2 linked regions of the Coturnix japonica genome follow. The protein of the gene in region 1 interacts with the protein of each later gene in a pairwise test. Links are inferred from orthologs where the notes say so. Each region holds a gene or a part of one and is shown on either strand. Other genes may lie near its edges.

Evidence for each region. The genes of interacting proteins can lie anywhere in the genome.
Region 2: the proteins of GCC1 (region 1) and CEP57 interact in binary tests that used the Homo sapiens proteins (3 or more experiments, as listed by UniProt). The two-hybrid records come from large-scale screens. The link is inferred for Coturnix japonica from reciprocal best matches to the Homo sapiens genes GCC1 and CEP57.

Annotation. Positions count from the first base shown.
Region 1 is NC_029516.1:516,528-521,293, reverse strand, and holds the start of GCC1 (GRIP and coiled-coil domain-containing protein 1), read right to left. Parts: upstream 3,060-4,766; 5' UTR 2,867-3,059; coding exon 1,733-2,866; intron 537-1,732; coding exon 1-536. UniProt on the Homo sapiens protein: Probably involved in maintaining Golgi structure.
Region 2 is NC_029516.1:165,700,528-165,704,737, forward strand, and holds part of CEP57 (centrosomal protein of 57 kDa), read right to left. Parts: intron 3,940-4,210; coding exon 3,760-3,939; intron 3,471-3,759; coding exon 3,349-3,470; intron 1,709-3,348; coding exon 1,595-1,708; intron 1-1,594. UniProt on the Homo sapiens protein: Centrosomal protein which may be required for microtubule attachment to centrosomes. May act by forming ring-like structures around microtubules. Mediates nuclear translocation and mitogenic activity of the internalized growth factor FGF2, but that of FGF1.

The DNA.
Region 1 (4,766 bases):
TGCTCCTGAGCTTCCTCCAGTTCTTTGGCCAGGTTGCCATCTTTGGCTGACTTGTTCTTGAGAACCACTTGTGCCCTCATCTTGTACCTTTCAAACTCTTCCTTCAGCTGCTTCAGCTCCTGCTGATAGTACAGAGCCGTGGCCTTCTCACCATCCCCGGCCTCGGTACCTTTTGGCAGCTCCAGCTCACACAGCTTCTCGATGTCCAGCGTGGGCTGACTCTTCTTTGCTGCCACCTGCAGCAGCTTCTTCAGCTTCTCCATCTTATCCTTGAGAACGTTCACATCCAGATTGGCTTCTTCCACGTTCACATCAGCAGGGGATCGGCTGGAGGCTGCGATGGCCAAGGTTTTGTTCTCCTGGTCCAGCTGCACGATGCGATCCTTCAGTTTCTGGATGACCATTTGGTCCTTCTGTTTGGCCTTCTCGTAGGTGCCCAGCAGCCCTGACACCTCAGAGACCTGCCCCTCCAGGTCGGCCACGCGCTGCTCCTCCATCTGGGCGTGCTGCCGGAGCTGCTCCTCTGCTTGTGCAGTCTGTAAGCAAAGAAATGCAGCGGTGTTAGACCACCCTGCAATTACACAGGCCTTCATTCTGCTCTGAACAACTCCAAGCAAGCACAGGGACACCCTTTCCCTAGTTTCCAAACAATCCTCCCCCACCCCACACTCTCACACGCCCATCTTTAAAACAGAGACTCAAGGATGAAACAAACCGAGTGCGTTTCTGTATTTGTTCCCTGCTGTTAGCAGCATTAATGTGCATTGCTGGAGGCATGTGCAGGGCATGAAGCACAAAGCTCACCTCACTGTGGGATTTTTTCATGTCTGAGTGTGCCCTAAAGCTTTCCTACACCTAACTGTACCTAAATGCTAAGCTTTGTTACACCAATATTAACGTAATTCAGTGGGCTCTGAGTAGCTACAGCAAACACTGGAGCTCACAGCTTCTATCACCATCGAGATCTGACCTCCTAAAGAGCACGTGGAAGGTGGCACCACTCCTCAGTCCCCACTGTGAGCCAAAACACAGCTGGGATCAGCCCATCCTCAGCCCTGTCGTACAGAAGCTGCTGGGTATCACTTCCAAAACAAGGTTAATCGCATCCCATCAGCCCGAAGCTGATAATTAGAGGCTTCAGATTAGAAAGCTGAAAACTTATTCCAGACTGTGGGGAAATGAGGATCCCATGCTGGTGTCCTTCCAGCTGCCAACTCAGCAGCAAAGCCCTCCATCCCTCTGCCCCACAGCCTGCAGAGACACACAGCAAGATGCACAGCCCAGCACCTCGCTCAGCAGGCCGCCCTTATCGCCCACCTGCCTCACCGCTCACCTATTACAGTTCCATGCAGGGGGATGTGGAGGTCAGTTCCCTTTAAGAGAGTCCGAACCGAACCTTGCATTGCATTTATGATGAGAGCACGCTCATTGCCACTGCTCTCCTCCCAAATCCAGCTGCTGCTCGGAACCAAGCGATGCTCACCACGTAACTCCCACAAAGACTGCTCCTAAACCACCCGTGGTTAACTGATTTATACACTGCATTGCCAACAGCTTTAATTTTCCTCAGGGTATATGATCCCATCAGATGAAACTATGGTATTTTCTCCTATCTGAAATCTTTCGGACTTTGTGGCATGTGGCACAGGGAGAATTTGGGCTCCTCAAGCCTCCATCTGCTGCTCTGGTACCCCCTACATTGGGCTGCTCTAGGGCTCAAGCAGGGAATTACCTTCCTCATCTCCTGCAGCAGCTGCGCTTGGAAGTGGCTCTTCAGGTTGGCCATCTCCTCCTGCAGGTCTTGCACCCGGGGGTCCGGCTTCTTCCTCTCCTCCTGAACAGCCTGCAGTTCTCTCTTCAGCTCCTCCACCTCCTGGCTCAGCTGCTTGATCTGCAGCTCGTAGCCCTCAGCACGATCAGCCATGCACACCCGGCCGGCCAATGCCTCCCTGGTCTCCTCCAGCTTCAGCTCAGCGTCCTGCCTCAACGCCCTCTCGCTCTGCAGCAGCTTCTGCAGCTCCCTCAGCATAACAGCGTGGTCGCTCTGCTCCTGGGCTCGGTCGTGCTGCTGCGTGATCAGTCGAGCTTTGGTCTCTGCCAGCTGCTCCTGTACAACCCTCAGCTCCGTCTCCAACCTGTCAGTCTCATCCTCCGCCTTTTTAATGGCGTCATCCAGGTCCTGCTTCATCTTCTTCTTGTCGGCTTGATATGACGCTTCCATGCGGGACTTCTCCTGCGTCACCGTGGACAGGGCGCTGGTCAATGTGGCCAATTGGCTCTTCAGCTGCAGCACCCGCTTATCGGCCTCAATGGCAGCACAGGGCACGTCCCCATTGCTGTTACTGGTACCAGTACCGACCTCGGAACCATTCCCCTCATCTGATTTAACAGCTGCTGCGTGTTTCTCATCCTCAGGTCCCTGCTCGCCCTTCGTGCTGCCCAAACTGGTTGTTGTGTCCACGCTGGCGGCCGTTCCCATGCTGTCCTCGCTGTGAACTGAGCTCTTATCATCCATGGGATCAACATGGGGAGAGCTGGAAGGAGGGGAAGAGCCGGAGGGGAGGGAAGAGCTGGAGGGGAAAGAAGAGTTGGAGGGAAGGGAAGAGCTGGAGGCAAAGGAAGAGCTGGAGGGGGCCACAAATGGAGCCTGAGCCCCATTTAACCCAATGTCGGCCTCGTGGGACGCCGATAACACCTTCAGGCTGGCCTCCAAGGCCTCCTTCTCGTTGATGAGGCTCTTGTAGGCGATGACCACGTCCTTCAGCCTGGCCTGGTAATTCAGGAGCTGCTTCTTCTGCGACTCGATGGTTTCCAGCAGTTCTTTTTTACTCGGGCCTCCTCCGAAGTTCATACCGAATTTCTCCATGGTTCCGGGATGGGGGTGGGCCTGGGGGCGGGTAGGTCGCAGGGCTCAGGCCTTACCTCCGGACCGGGCCGGGCCACAGCAGGCCGCGGCCTCCAGGCCCAACCAACGAGTCGGTACCGGCAGCCAGAGCGCCGCCGCACACCTACTTCCGGCCTGCTTAACTTCCGCCCTCCCACCTACTTCCGCCTCGTTTAACTTCCGCCCCTACTACTTCCGCCCTCCCACCTACTTCCGCCTTGTTTAACTTCCGCCCTCCCACCCACTTCCGCCCTGCACGTTAAGCCCCGCCCACTGGAGGTGACGCACCCCACGCTGCGCATGCGCAAAGTGAAGGGTTTGGGGCGAGGAGCGGCCACCAATCAGGTGTCAGAACGGAGCAGAGGGGGCGGGGCTAATAGGATTGGGGGCGTGGCCTTGTAGTCTGGGGGCGGGGCTTAATGAGGGGGCGGGGCATCGTTGTATGAATGAGGATGAGGATGGGGTGAGGGGGGGGATGGGATGGGGATGGGATGGAGGGGAGGATGGGATGAGGATGGGGGTGAGGATGAAGATGGGATGAGGATGGGATGAGGATGGGGATAGGGATGAAGATGAGAATGGGGTAGGGATGAGGATGAGGATGGGATGGGGATGAGGATGAAGATGGAATGATAAGAATGAAGAGGAAGAGGAAGATGGGATGAAGATGGGGTAAGGATGGGGATGGGATGAAGATGAGGATGAAGGGGAGGATGGGATGAGGATGGGATGGGTGAGGATGAAAATGAAGATGGGATGGGATGGAGATGAAGATAAAGATTAAGGGGAGGATGGGATGAGGATGAAGATGGGATGAGGATGGGATAGGGATGATGATGAGGATGGGATGGGATGGAGATGAAGGTGGGATGGGGATGAAGATGAGGATGGGATGATAATAAGGATGAAGATGAAGATGGGATGGGGGTGGAGATAAAGATGAAGAGGAAGATGGGATGAGGATGGGGATGGAGATGGGGTAAGGATGGAGATGGGAGGAAGGTAAGGATGAAGGGCATGAAAAGGGGAGGATGGGATGAGGATGTGATGGGTGAGGATGATGAAGATGGGATAGGGATGGGATGAGGATGGGAATGAAGGTGGGATAGGGATGAGGATGAGGATGGGATGGGATGGGGATGAAGATAAGGATTAAGGGGAGGATGGGATGAGGATGTGGGTGAGGATGAAGATGAAGATGGGATGGGGATGAGGATGGGATGATAATAAGAATGAGATGAGATGGGAATGGGGATGAGGAATGAGATGGAATGGAATAAGAATGAAGATGAAGAGGAAGATGGGATGAGGATGGGGATGGGAATGAAGATAAGGATGATGGGGAGGATGGGATGAGGATGTGGGTGAGGATGAAGATGGGATGGGGATGAAGATGAGATGGGAATGAGAATGAAGGTGGGATGATAATAAGAATGAAGATGAAGATGGGATGGGAATGGGATGAAGATGAGGATGAGGTGGAGATGGGGATGGGGATGGAGATGTAGGTGGGATGGGGGTGTGAATGAATATAGGATGGGGATGAGGATGGGATGGAGATCAGCGTGAGGATGAGTGTGCAATGGAAATGGGGTTGGGATGGGGGTGGGGATGAGGATGGGATGTAGATGAAGATAAGGATGAAGGGGAGGATGGGATGAGGATGTGGGTGAGGATGAAAGATGGGATGGGGAGGGATGAGGATGGATGGGATGGAGATGAAGGTGGGATGGGGATGAAGATGAGGATGGGATGCATAATAGGATGAAAAATGAAGATGGAATGGGGTGGAGATAAAGAGAAAGAGGAAGATGGATGAGGAGTGGGATGGAGATGGGGTAAGGATGGAGATGGGAGGAAGGTAAGGATGAAGGGGAGGATG
Region 2 (4,210 bases), about 170 Mb from region 1:
TTAATATGCGAATGCAGAAGCAAACCTTTTGTTTGAGCTGAAGACTGACAGGAAGCCAAACCAATGCTTTGGCACAAAAATAGACCAAGCATTCACTCAGTCAGTTGTTTTAGCTGGAGGGTATAGCTCAAGTTGTGCAGCAAGAACGTGTCTCACTACATCTTCAGTGACAGAAACACTGTGGAAATTCAGTGATATTCCCAAAGCATTTTTCTCCTTTCCTGCAATCAAATAGTATTCCAAAATCCCCCTTCCAAGCTCAGCTCTCAGAATGGTTATATCCCACAGGTAACGTAGAATCCTCAGCTATCACCAAGAGGTAAGCACTGAACTAAGTCTCAAACAACCTGAAATGGAAAGGTATGAGAGCTCAAAGATACAGGATGTGTTCATTTCCTAGTAGCTGGCTACTAGAACAAACACCCAACCAGGTCTACAAGGCAGAAAACATCTCTGGTGTGAAGACAGCTCTACCTCTGTGCTTCAGTGCCCTGCGAATCAGCATTTGCTTGGCAGCTGAGAAGCCAGCATGTGCATGGCTTCAGCAGGGCAGCTGCTGCTTCTCACCACCTGGCAATTAGGGAAGATAAGAAAAACAGGAGGGGTAGGCAGCACAGCCACAACAGGAAGCTCATTGCTTCTGCTGCTCACAGAACAGCGCTCTGGTTTTGTCTCATGGTTAGCATTAAGACAAGATGACTAGCAACAACAATTCTTTAAAGCACACAACATGCACATATATTCAAATTATAGATGATATGCAAAAACCAGAGCCCTTGCCACGCTTATAGAGAACAGCCTCCATCATCAGACACAGGCATGCTCAGATCCTCTCAGTCAGCTGTCCAGGCACTGCAGGACTACCATTACACTGCTCTTACACTAATGCACTTGGGAGTTGCACGCTCTGATGAGGAGACCATCACATGAATGTGAATCTCAGTACCTCCTTTTTACATCTTTATGTGTCTTGAAGGCAATACTGAGTAACAGCTCAACGATTAAAAAGCACACACACAACCTCTGTTCAGTCAGAGTCTGGATAACACTTGCACAGCAAGGTTAAAACAGGAACATGTTTGAGTCCAGAACTATCCCCAGTACCACCTTCCAACAACACACTGCCTGCTCTAAAAGGGGGGAGAAAATCAGCAGGTAAAAGCCTCTCCCTCTTTAAAGCCTTTTGTAGTTCTCATACTTCAGAGTCCTGTGGTGTCTCTCCAGCAGTAGAAAGGATGAGGATTGGATTTCAGAAGCCAACAGCACAGATGGTACAAAGAAACAGATATGACCGAACATGGCCATGCTGAACTTTTAAAAGCTACTGGTTCAAAATGTATCCTGAAAAAGCAGATTAAATGCATTGCCAGCCAACCAGGGCTGGAGGGCAGGCAATGCCAGACTGCAGAATTCTGCCCACAAAATAACTGCATTTCTTAAGGCAAGTGGCAATTAAAAAAAAAAAAAGAACTAACAAACACAAACCAACTGAAAACAGAACCAACAACACACACAGCTCTGTTATTGTCATATAGCTACAAAGTGCTGCATACAGTAAGCAAGATTTTTATCTGTTACAGCACACACAACAGACCTCTGCCATGGACTGCATTGTAGTAAGCCTGGTGTACTCCTTCTCCAACAAGTCCAGCTTCTCCAGCTTTGACTGAACACGTGATTGATCGAGCCGTTCTCTCTCCAATGAATCCTTGAAGGAGAAGTAAAAAGGCAAATGATTATAAGCACAGGAAAACAAGCACACATATAAAATCAGAGAATTACCCAGGTTGGAAAAGACCTTAAGATCAACAAGTCCAACTGCAGCCTAACCATAGTATCCTAACTCTAACAACCCTCTGCTAAATCATATCTGAGCACCACATCCAAATGGCTCTTAAACATATCCAGGGATGGCGATTAAACCACCTCCCTGGGGAGCCTATTCCAGTGTTTAACCATGCTTTCTGTAAAGAAGTGTTTCCTCACATCCAACCTAAACTTACCTTGACACAACTTGAGGCCATTTCCCCTCATCCTGTCACCGGTGAGAAGAGACTTGTCCCGCTCTCACTTTAAGAACCTTTCAGATACTGGAAGAGAGCGATAAGGTCTCCCCTCAGCCTCCTTTTCCTCAGACTGAACAGCTCCAGTTCCCTCAGCCTCTTAGGGCTGATTCTCCAAGCCCTTCACAAGCCTCATTGCCCTTCTCTTCTGGACCTGCTCCAGCACCTCCATGTCCTTTTTGTACCGAGGTGCCAAAAACTGAACACAGTACTCGAGGTGAGGCCTCACCAATGGTGAGTACAGGGGCAGGATGACTTCCCTAGTCCTGCTCACCACACCATTCCTGATACAAGACAGGATGGCATTGGCTTTCTTGGCCACCTGGGCACATCACTGGCTCATATTCAGCCAACTGTCCATCAGCACACCAAGGTCCCTTTCCATCAGGCAGCTTTCCAGCCACACCTCCCCAAGCCTGTAGGGTTGCCTGGGGTTGTTGCAACCGAAATGCAGGACCCAACACTTGGCCCTATTGAAACTCATGCTGTTAACCTCGGCCTTATAACTGCAACACAAGGAAGGACTGCAAAAGAACTACTTCATCTATCCAGTGTTAAGTGGTGCTACAACTAAGGAGCATTGGCACAGTAAAATAAGGCATTGCCACGGCTGGGAACTCCACCCATGCTGGGAATCTCACATCAAGCCAGACTCAGATAAAGATTCTGCAGCCTCCCCTCCTTCCAAACCAAATATGACAAAAATAAAATATTATTGCTCAGCAATTAGAGGCAATTTTCTTTATTTTAATCCTTCAGTAAATGTTTAATAGTCTGAAATAGGGGAGCCACAGAAGCAAATGAACAGAGAGCCCTGGGTGATCCACACACCCATGAGAGAAAGTTCAAGTTCATTTCTGATATAGGGCAAATCCCACAATAGCCAATGACAGGAAAAATAATTCACCATCATTTCTTTCAATTAGTACTTTCCCTGATAAAATCTCAATAGATTTTAAAGCCAATGACAAAAGGGAAGGTTTGTCCATTGACAGTTATTTTACTCCAAGGCACAGGAGCTAAGGCAAGTGAGAATTACTTGCTGGTGCATGACACAGTAATACCGGAGCCTTTGGTATTGCCATAGAGACAGATGTACAAAGGTAAAAAGCAAATAAATACCAGGGTCCTAACAACACTGAAAATTAAACAGGGCAATTATTCACAGCCAAGTATATAAAGGCCAGCTCAAACAGACATCCACACCTGAAGGCATTAACTCTAAAATATAAGGACAGAGTTAATACCATTATAGTTTTTTGCCCATTCAATCCTGAGAACACACCTGCTTCTCCAAGAGCTGCGTCTTCTCCCTTTCCGCGTGCTGGATCATCTTTCTCATGTAGTCCAGCTGTTTCTCTAACAGGCTGTACCGAGACTCAGCAGCCGCCAGCTGAGAAGCCAGTTCTGCAAGTAACAGAAGGCCAAAAAGTGAGATTAAGGGCTGCTCGTTGGGGTTGTTTTTTAACATCTTCAGGACGCTTCAAAAACAAGCAAGGAAAGGCTCATCTAAAACTCAGATAAAGCCGAATCAACTCTTACACACATGCAAACCCCCCCAGAACAAAGTCAGCTTTTAAATCAACAAAACTCCATGCTTCGCTACCAAATAGAGACCGAACAAAGTCAGCTTCACACACTGATGAAGCCCAGACTTCATCCACCTCAACATTCAGTGTTACCTACAGCAACCAACCTTGATTTTTCTTTGACACTTCAGTTCTGTCGCGCTCTCTGTGCTTCATTTGCTCACTCAGTACTTTCTTGTAGTCTGCTGTTTCTCTGCTGAGGTGTTTGACGTTCTCCTCTGCCTGAAGCCGTTCCAACTCCAGCCGACGAATTTTCTCCTGAAGATTCCTCAGAGCAGAAAATATTGCTGTAATTGAGTGAGTATCTTTTGTTAGTTGCTATTATAAGCATGGTTCAAGTTTGATGTTACCTTGAAAGGTTTGCTACATAAGAAAGAGAGTGCTCCCCCCCACCAGCCAGGATTGCCTCCATGAATGAAGCTCCCATTGCTCAGCAGGAGCCAGGCAAATATCCTGTAGATAAAGTGCAAACAGGGCACCTCCTGTCTTATCAACTGGGAATTAAAAGTGACAGCTGAACAATTAAAGCAGCAGCGACTTCTCTGCCTCTGTTCTTTT